2 linked regions of the Nothobranchius furzeri genome follow. The protein of the gene in region 1 purifies or fractionates together with the protein of each later gene. This does not show direct contact. Links are inferred from orthologs where the notes say so. Each region holds a gene or a part of one and is shown in the gene's direction. Other genes may lie near its edges.

Region 1 (3,753 bases):
TAGCTCGTTTTCAAATTGATGAAATAAAAAAAAAGATTACAATATTTTAGGGGTTTTATTGAATCTTTACAGTATGCTCTAATGGGAAACAGGCTTCAACACAAATGGTTGTTTTCCGCTTGGTCCTAGAGCTCAACCAGTGTCAATTTAATACAGCGTAATATTGTTTTTGGAAGGTAAAAAGTGCAGGGGTCAAAACTTGACTTTGGAAAAAGTAGGGGGGACATGTCTCCCTGTCCCCCCCCCACTCCCCCCGCCAAAATTACCTCCATGTGTTTGATGCCTTTCTAATTTCTGACAATTAATTGTTTTTTTGTGTGTTTGTGGAAGCGTTGTTTCCAGCTGTTCTCTCTCCTTGACCAGGGCAGCTGTAAAATATATTTTAAAAGTCTGCAATCCAATCACAGTTGTCCTTTTCCACAACCTGAGTGCCAGGGCGATGTGGCCTAAAATCAATATCACGATACTTCGAGGATTTTACCTCGATACCGATAAATGGACGATAATTACAGGTATGTACAGAAACAAAAGTTGTCCACTAGATGGGGCTTTCACTTGTATGACGTTGAGTCAAATTTTTACGTGACTCAAAGGGACATGAATGTTGCCAACTTACACACATCTTTTCATTTTTTTACTATCAAATTTTTAACATGGGAAAAATGATCTCGATAAGAGTCAGAATTTTTGATAATGATACATTTTCGATTTGTTGCCCAGCACTACTCATGCATAATGTAACAAACTGATTGCTGAACCCTTTTCTTTTGGATTTCCTAATAAGAGAGAAGTATCCACTGTCATGTAGAACGTAGAAGGGTGCACACTTTCCAAAAAGCTACCAAACGACTTTTTATTGTAATAAAGATTTATTAGGCACCATGGCATCAATTTCCAGTTCATCTGCTTGCTTTGATCTCAGGTGTTGGAAACCAGGACAGCCGATGTAACTCCTCCCCCCACTCTGCGATCTCCTCCTCCTCTCCGGAGCCAGCCCAGCCGCAGCAGCACAGGAGCTGCCGTGCCTCGTCTTTCACGGAGGAGATACAGACAGCCGGAGTAAAATCCAAACCCCGTACAGCCATGGCAGACAACGCCGGCTTGGAAAACCACCGCATCAAGAGCTTTAAAAATAAGGGACGTGATGTCGAGGTGAGCTCTTTTTGAGGATATGCGTTTAAATGTCTTTAATCTTAATATTTTAATGTAGATGGGAAAAGCCGACTACCGTCAGGCCTTGCTTGGTAGCCTGGCCCCGGCTGAAACTTCCCAGCCTGCCTGTTAGCTAAGCTACCACAGGGTGGTCGCCATCAAAGATTTCATTACATGAAAATTAAACTCTTAAAGACGACAGCTGTGATGGACTTCAGCGTGGATAAGTCATAAACCTCAGCAACCACTGTGACTGAAAGCTGGATCATAGTTGGGCTTTTAGAACTATGAGAATTAGGGCAGGCGATGTAGCTGTCAGTGCCGGTGTTTTAACGAAAAAGGTACCCCTGCCATTAAAAGCACACTAGTCGGAAATGCGTTATAAATTAAACCATGGTTTGTTTTACTTAACTAAATTAACCACGTTTTCTCCACATATAAGTCAAGTATCGTTTATTCTGTAAAGCTATGCAGTTAATTAGATTGTAATGATGTATTCGCAGTAGTTATGTTGAGGTAGGCTGCTAGGATGCAGTTTTTTTTTTACCCTGGAAGTCTTCGAAATCATGCATCATAATGTACATTGTTTTTTTCCCCCTATAATGTACGTTTAAAAAAATCTTGGCCATAAATAGACGTTACCCAGTGACTAAAGCAACTTATCTCGTTTCTGAACGTTAAGAATATTACAAATTTAGGTCTAAATGTAACGATAATTTAAGTAATCCTAACAAGCTGTCCTTAAATACGCTTCCCATGATGGGTTTCTTTGGCGACTGGTGTACTTTTTTCGACACGACACTAGCTAACTTTAGCTAGCTAGTTTGATGGACACCGGTCTCAAGCGAGGCGGGGCCTACCCGGCTTCAAAATCGCGATATTTCCAATCTTTTTATGCCACCCCACTGTAAACAAAAATGCTAACCAAAGAACGTCACATATAATCAATATTATATGGACAAGTGTGATTTGGGTGGATCGGTGACGGGTGCTCGTTTACCCTAGCCACCCCTCCTCGTTAGCATGCAAACGCGAGCCTGCCAACCGAGCAGCTAGTGTTGTGTCTATCTGTTTTTCTTTAAATATTTGTATTTTCAGTCACCATTAAATTAGGTGACTTTCCTCACAAAAGCAAAGGATAACAAGCTAGCCATTCTGTTAACTATAACCTGTAGTAAAAGGTTATGTCGAATCACAAATGCCCTAACTCAGCATTTCTGTAAAAATTTAAATGTAGTTTACCGTTTTATTGTAAGTCACATTCTAGAAAACACTAGATTTATTTTGTGTACCTACTAGCATATCTAAAATGCTGCATCTTTCACTGAATTTGTCTAAATTGCTCATTGACACTGTAGCCAAAGCAGTTGGTAAAGGATTTGTTTCAAGTTTAAACAAACAAAAAATAGCAAATCTATCATTTCTGGGTTAAAAAATGTTCAAATCAAATGACTAATCTACTCTGGACTTGTTCAAATTATCTGTGAAATGTAAACAATTTTCTTTTAGGGCATTTCTCTCAGCCACAGGGGGGATTACTAACAAAAACATACTTGTTTTAGTGTTGTTCTAATTTATCGGTAATCCCAAGATAATCCACAAACAAAGGTATGTCTGAGAATGCCCTTTCCAAATTCACCAGACGGGAGTTTCACCATCAGAGTGGTGCCTGTATTGGTTGTTTTGAAACTGGAAGTGTGTGTTCGACAAGCACATGGCTACTGGGATCGAGCCTCTGCCAAAGTGCATTCCTGATGCTATTTCAGGCATCTTGGAAGTCTGACCCAGTCCTTCTCAGAACCTCGGCATGAAATTGGGTTTTTGAAAGTGGGTGACTCAGACTACAGCAAATTTGTTTTAGGTCAGCTGCAAAAGAGTGCATTTCATTTTTAACACCTATTGAACTGAATGAGGTCCCACACCCAGACTTAGTATCTTAGTTTTGAATATTGAAAAAGTATTCCATTAATTAGAGTTTTGAAATCTTTTGCTCGACAGATGAAATGTGAGCATTGCTGAAATCATGTGATAATTCACATCTGTATTTAAGAAGCAGTTTAGTTCGGATCAGTACCCCTGGCATTATCATTGTTTTGCAGTGGTCTGGAGCCGCTTCTCTGTTATGACAGCCCAAAGTTACGTAAGAGGCTATTTAGGATGGCAACATGAACCTCTTTAACAGTCACAAGATCTTAGACCATCTCAAAATGCTCTGGATGAGCGAGAAACCCAACAGATGCACTTATACAGCAAAACTATTAAACAGTTTCTCATCACCTGGACTAAAATGAGTTGATTTTCACCTCAAACACAAAGATACGGTCATTTATTGTAACATGTTACATTTTTATCTCTTGTTGTTTTGTAAGACTTCCATCACACTTAAATGCCAGTGTGAAACTATATAATCTTGTTCACATTCTTTGTATTTTCTCCCGTTTCAGACTATGAGAAGACATCGAAACGAAGTGACAGTTGAGTTGAGAAAGGTGAGAAAAGATTCACACGACAGTATTCAGGAACACACAAGCAAATGCACGCACATAATCTGTCCGCGTAAGGCCGATCTGTTTCTGACTCTGGAACAGCAAAGAACGCACA
Region 2 (3,753 bases), on another chromosome or scaffold:
GGAGAATTTGAGTAAAGTGAACACAGATCATTTTACAAGGTCTGGTGTGTCAAGTGTGTTTGTGGCATCATTTGACTTTTTTTGGTGTATTTTTTTTATAACTGCAAATGATAAATACAAGTGTGTCCTAACTGAAGAAGTAATCTAGTTAAATACTTGGGAATTAAATATTGACCAAAAACACAATATTTCTGATTATTATTCACAATTGAGCAGCCCTATTCTTTATGTGGCTTGTTATTTACTGATACAGCCTTTGAGTGATTGCTTTTGGCCACATCTGGTGCTAATCAGACGGATTTCTGACTCCAAGAGTTTACAAAGTTATTTATCCTTTAAGGGAGTTACCTGTGTCATCCTTTGCAGTGGTGTCTTTCTCCTCTGTGACAGCTGTCATCTCTGAGTCCTGTTGCTTCTCTAGGCCGCCTTCCTCCTGGTCTGCAGCAGATTTCTCTGGATCATTCACACCTAGAGCCTCAACACCCTCTCTAAGAGAAGAGTTGGTGACTTCAGTCTGCATCCTACCTGCTGCTGGACAACTTTAATAGGATCTGCGAAACAGCAGCATGTTTGATAATAATTAGCAATGGGAGATAATGGCAGTTATTATTTACACGGGTAACGAGTCAAGTTACGCCTGTTACTAAAGCGTAATAAGCAATTTGAGAATATTTAGGTTTATTTGTTTTATTCCTACTGGGCTAGCTAACGTCAAACCGCACCGCAGAAATAAAGGAAATCCTTCATTGTTATTACCGATTTGTCGTGAGTCAGCGTTGGTCACGTTAAAATTTGATTTTAAAGTAATTCCCAAGTGATGGGATCATCATAGCTCTCCATGAGGCTAGCTAAGTGCATTAAAAGATTCAACATGGACATAAACATAGCGCCATTTTGGCTGAATAGGTTGCTTGACGATGTTGTCGCGTTTAACCGGGCTCCAAATCCCGCTGATTTAAATGCGTATGGCTAAGTCATTCCAGGGCTTCTACTGTCTAAAATGTGAAAGGAGATGAAGTGGAAATCTACGCTAAACGTAACTTCCTGTTAGCTGTGCCGTGGCTAAACGACTCGTATTGTTTGGAGGGGAAAAGTAAAACCTCTTTAATTTAACTTTTACTCAATATACTAGTTTTTAAAATATACTATTAAATACAACAAAACTACAATTATGTTTTATGAATTATTTAGCGCTTAATGAGATCGCTGAAAGGCGCCAGCGTTCACGCGAGCTCTGATTGGTTAAAACCCATTTCCGGTCTCAGTCTTTTCGTTTAAAATTTTTTCAGTTAGAAGTTTTGGCCCATCGCCATTGTTAAAAGGAGAAGCTGGGAATGTTTGGACGATAAAAACGCGTTTTTTGGAAGACGTTTTTAACGGTAAGCTTTCCCCAATAAACTTAAAAAAGCGGAGTGGCAGATTTCGAGGAAACATTAGTTTGGAAACAACATTACCTCCTTTCGTGTGTTTGCTTCTCGTGACGCAATGATGAAAACCTAGAGCTTACCTTCAAATACTCCATTTATGCTCTGTTCATGCATTTACTGGTGTGTATTATACTAAATATTCGCGTGGCATAGAGTTTGATAAAGTGGATGAACATCACTCTGGCTTTTTCGTTATCCAGGCCTTTGTTTGTGTGAAGATGGCGCAGCGTGTGTTGGTAGCAGATGGTGGAAACAAGAAGACCTCCCGGGTTCGGGTAGCGGTTCGTCTGCGGCCTTACATGAGCAAACAAGATGATAAACACGAGGGTCCGTGTGTCAGAGGCCTGGACTCCCAGAACCTGGAGATAGTCAACTGGAGGAATGCAACAGAAACTGTGAAATACCAGTCAGTATCACTCTCCCAAGTGTCCTCCTCTCCTCACGACATTTGACTCTAAACATGGTTTGGTTTTTGTTCCAGCTTCGATGTTTTCCACGGAGAGGACACAACACAGGAAGAGGTTTTCCTCTCATCAGTGAAGTCGATTCTACCAAATATACTGAAAGGACAAAACGCCAGCGTGTTTGCTTATGGGCCAACAGGAGCTGGTGTGTTCTGGTGCCATTGTCACTGGAATAAGTGTGTTTTTCTTCCTAACATTAACCTGCATGGCTTCATTCACAGGTAAGACTCACACCATGTTGGGAAGTCCAGAGCAGCCTGGCGTGATCCCTCTAGCTGTTGAGGAGGTCTTTAATCTGGTCCGAGCCACGGATCAGGATGAAGGATGGGACTACAGCGTAGGAATGTCATATTTGGAAATTTATAATGAAAAGGTTTGTTTGTCCCGGTTACATCATTACTGTATGCACAGTGGTCTCCAGTCTCCTCAGGTTGGGAATCACTGTACAGATGAAGCTCAAAATATTAGAATATGATGCAAAAGCAGATTAAAGGTGAAACTAATACATTAAAAAAAACTTAATTACATGCAAAGCCAGATATTTCAAGCCCTTGTTATAACTGATGATTATGGCTTACAGCTTAATGAAACCCCACATTCAAAATCTCAGACTATTAGAATATTGTGAAAAGGTTCAATATTCTAGACTCATGCGCAAATAACCTGTGAAAATAATTGAAGACATCATGCTAGATCAGCAGCCTGTGATGACACCTGGTTCTGCTCACTGTAGGAGCCGCTTTAGAATAAATAAATATAATAATATACCAAAAATGAATCAAACCAAGCTCTTCAAAACACCGAACTGAATACTATTTTATCGTTACCGCACCGTTACACCCCTAAAATCTTTAATTACACACATAAACCACCTGGTACACTCAGACAAAATGACATTACACACAGATCAGTTTACAAGTACAACAATCCTTTTGAGACTCTTTTCTCACCTGACTGATTTGTGTGTGTATGGTGCATTTGAATACTGGGTGGAAGCTGGGAAATCTGAATTTCCTTTGGATTTAGTTTAAACTTGTGTTGACGGGACAAATGTGTTTTTCTGTGGAAAAACAGAGTACCGTAAATCCTCTAATATTGGCCTGTATTCAGTTAACTGCCGGGTATCACATTTTGGCCGGTGTCTGAGTTGGCGGAGGTGAATAATGGTCGGTTTTTTATTGTGGCCAGGTGAAATGTGGTAACAAGCAAGTACCACGAGGGGGGGGGGGGGGGCGCGGTTGTGTCATCGTCTCACTTTTGATTTGCCAGTGATAGACTGCGAGGGTAACTTTAACGGTGCGGAGACGAAGAGGAGGCGAAAATTTGATATCAAGTTCAAAGAGAACGTGCTGATTATACTGCAGAACACTCTGGGGAGCAGTAGCAGGGGTTGTATGAACTAGTCACTAGTCGACTTCACTATAGTGACTTTTTATGCCTGTCATCGACTAGTCGCTGTCACGTGATAATGACCGGCAAGATGTAGTCCACGGAAAAGACAGCAGCCTGCTGTCAGCAGGTGACAAGCTCCTGCGTGTCGGGAGGCGACGCACTGTGCCAGAGCGTCGGTACTGACACCCGCCGTAAAACGGACATTTAACCAAATTGTGACCTTTACCCTCTTGCAATTTAACATTCCCCTCACCCCCATCCTACCCTTAACTAGCTTGCGCATGCAAAGCTCTGATTGTTGACGTGCTCCAGACATCTGCGTCCTGAGTAACGTTATCAAATCAGGTGTCGCCACCTCAAAAACAAATTGAACACGCGATCGTTCATGTCGGCTCATTTCCTTTTATGTTTTCTGTCTTTTACTTTATTTGTGCCTGATGCTTTTCGCTGCTGTGGAGCAAGGCGCGTCA

The links. Proteins that work in one complex are often made in the same cells at the same time.
Region 2: the proteins of kpna3 (region 1) and kif22 purify together in Homo sapiens (affinity purification with mass spectrometry; 3 studies listed by BioGRID and IntAct, counting the BioPlex papers as one, with this or other methods). This does not show direct contact. The link is inferred for Nothobranchius furzeri from reciprocal best matches to the Homo sapiens genes KPNA3 and KIF22.

What each region holds. Positions count from the first base shown.
Region 1 is NC_091754.1:26,747,722-26,751,474, reverse strand, and holds the start of kpna3 (importin subunit alpha-4), read left to right. Parts: upstream 1-951; 5' UTR 952-1,083; coding exon 1,084-1,152; intron 1,153-3,596; coding exon 3,597-3,641; intron 3,642-3,753. UniProt on the Homo sapiens protein: Functions in nuclear protein import as an adapter protein for nuclear receptor KPNB1. Binds specifically and directly to substrates containing either a simple or bipartite NLS motif.
Region 2 is NC_091756.1:34,663,638-34,667,390, forward strand, and holds the start of kif22 (kinesin-like protein KIF22), read left to right. Parts: upstream 1-1,254; 5' UTR 1,255-1,379; intron 1,380-1,627; 5' UTR 1,628-1,645; coding exon 1,646-1,833; intron 1,834-1,908; coding exon 1,909-2,036; intron 2,037-2,112; coding exon 2,113-2,264; intron 2,265-3,753. Other genes in the region: pagr1 (PAXIP1-associated glutamate-rich protein 1), read right to left, coding at 349-520. UniProt on the Homo sapiens protein: Kinesin family member that is involved in spindle formation and the movements of chromosomes during mitosis and meiosis. Binds to microtubules and to DNA. Plays a role in congression of laterally attached chromosomes in NDC80-depleted cells.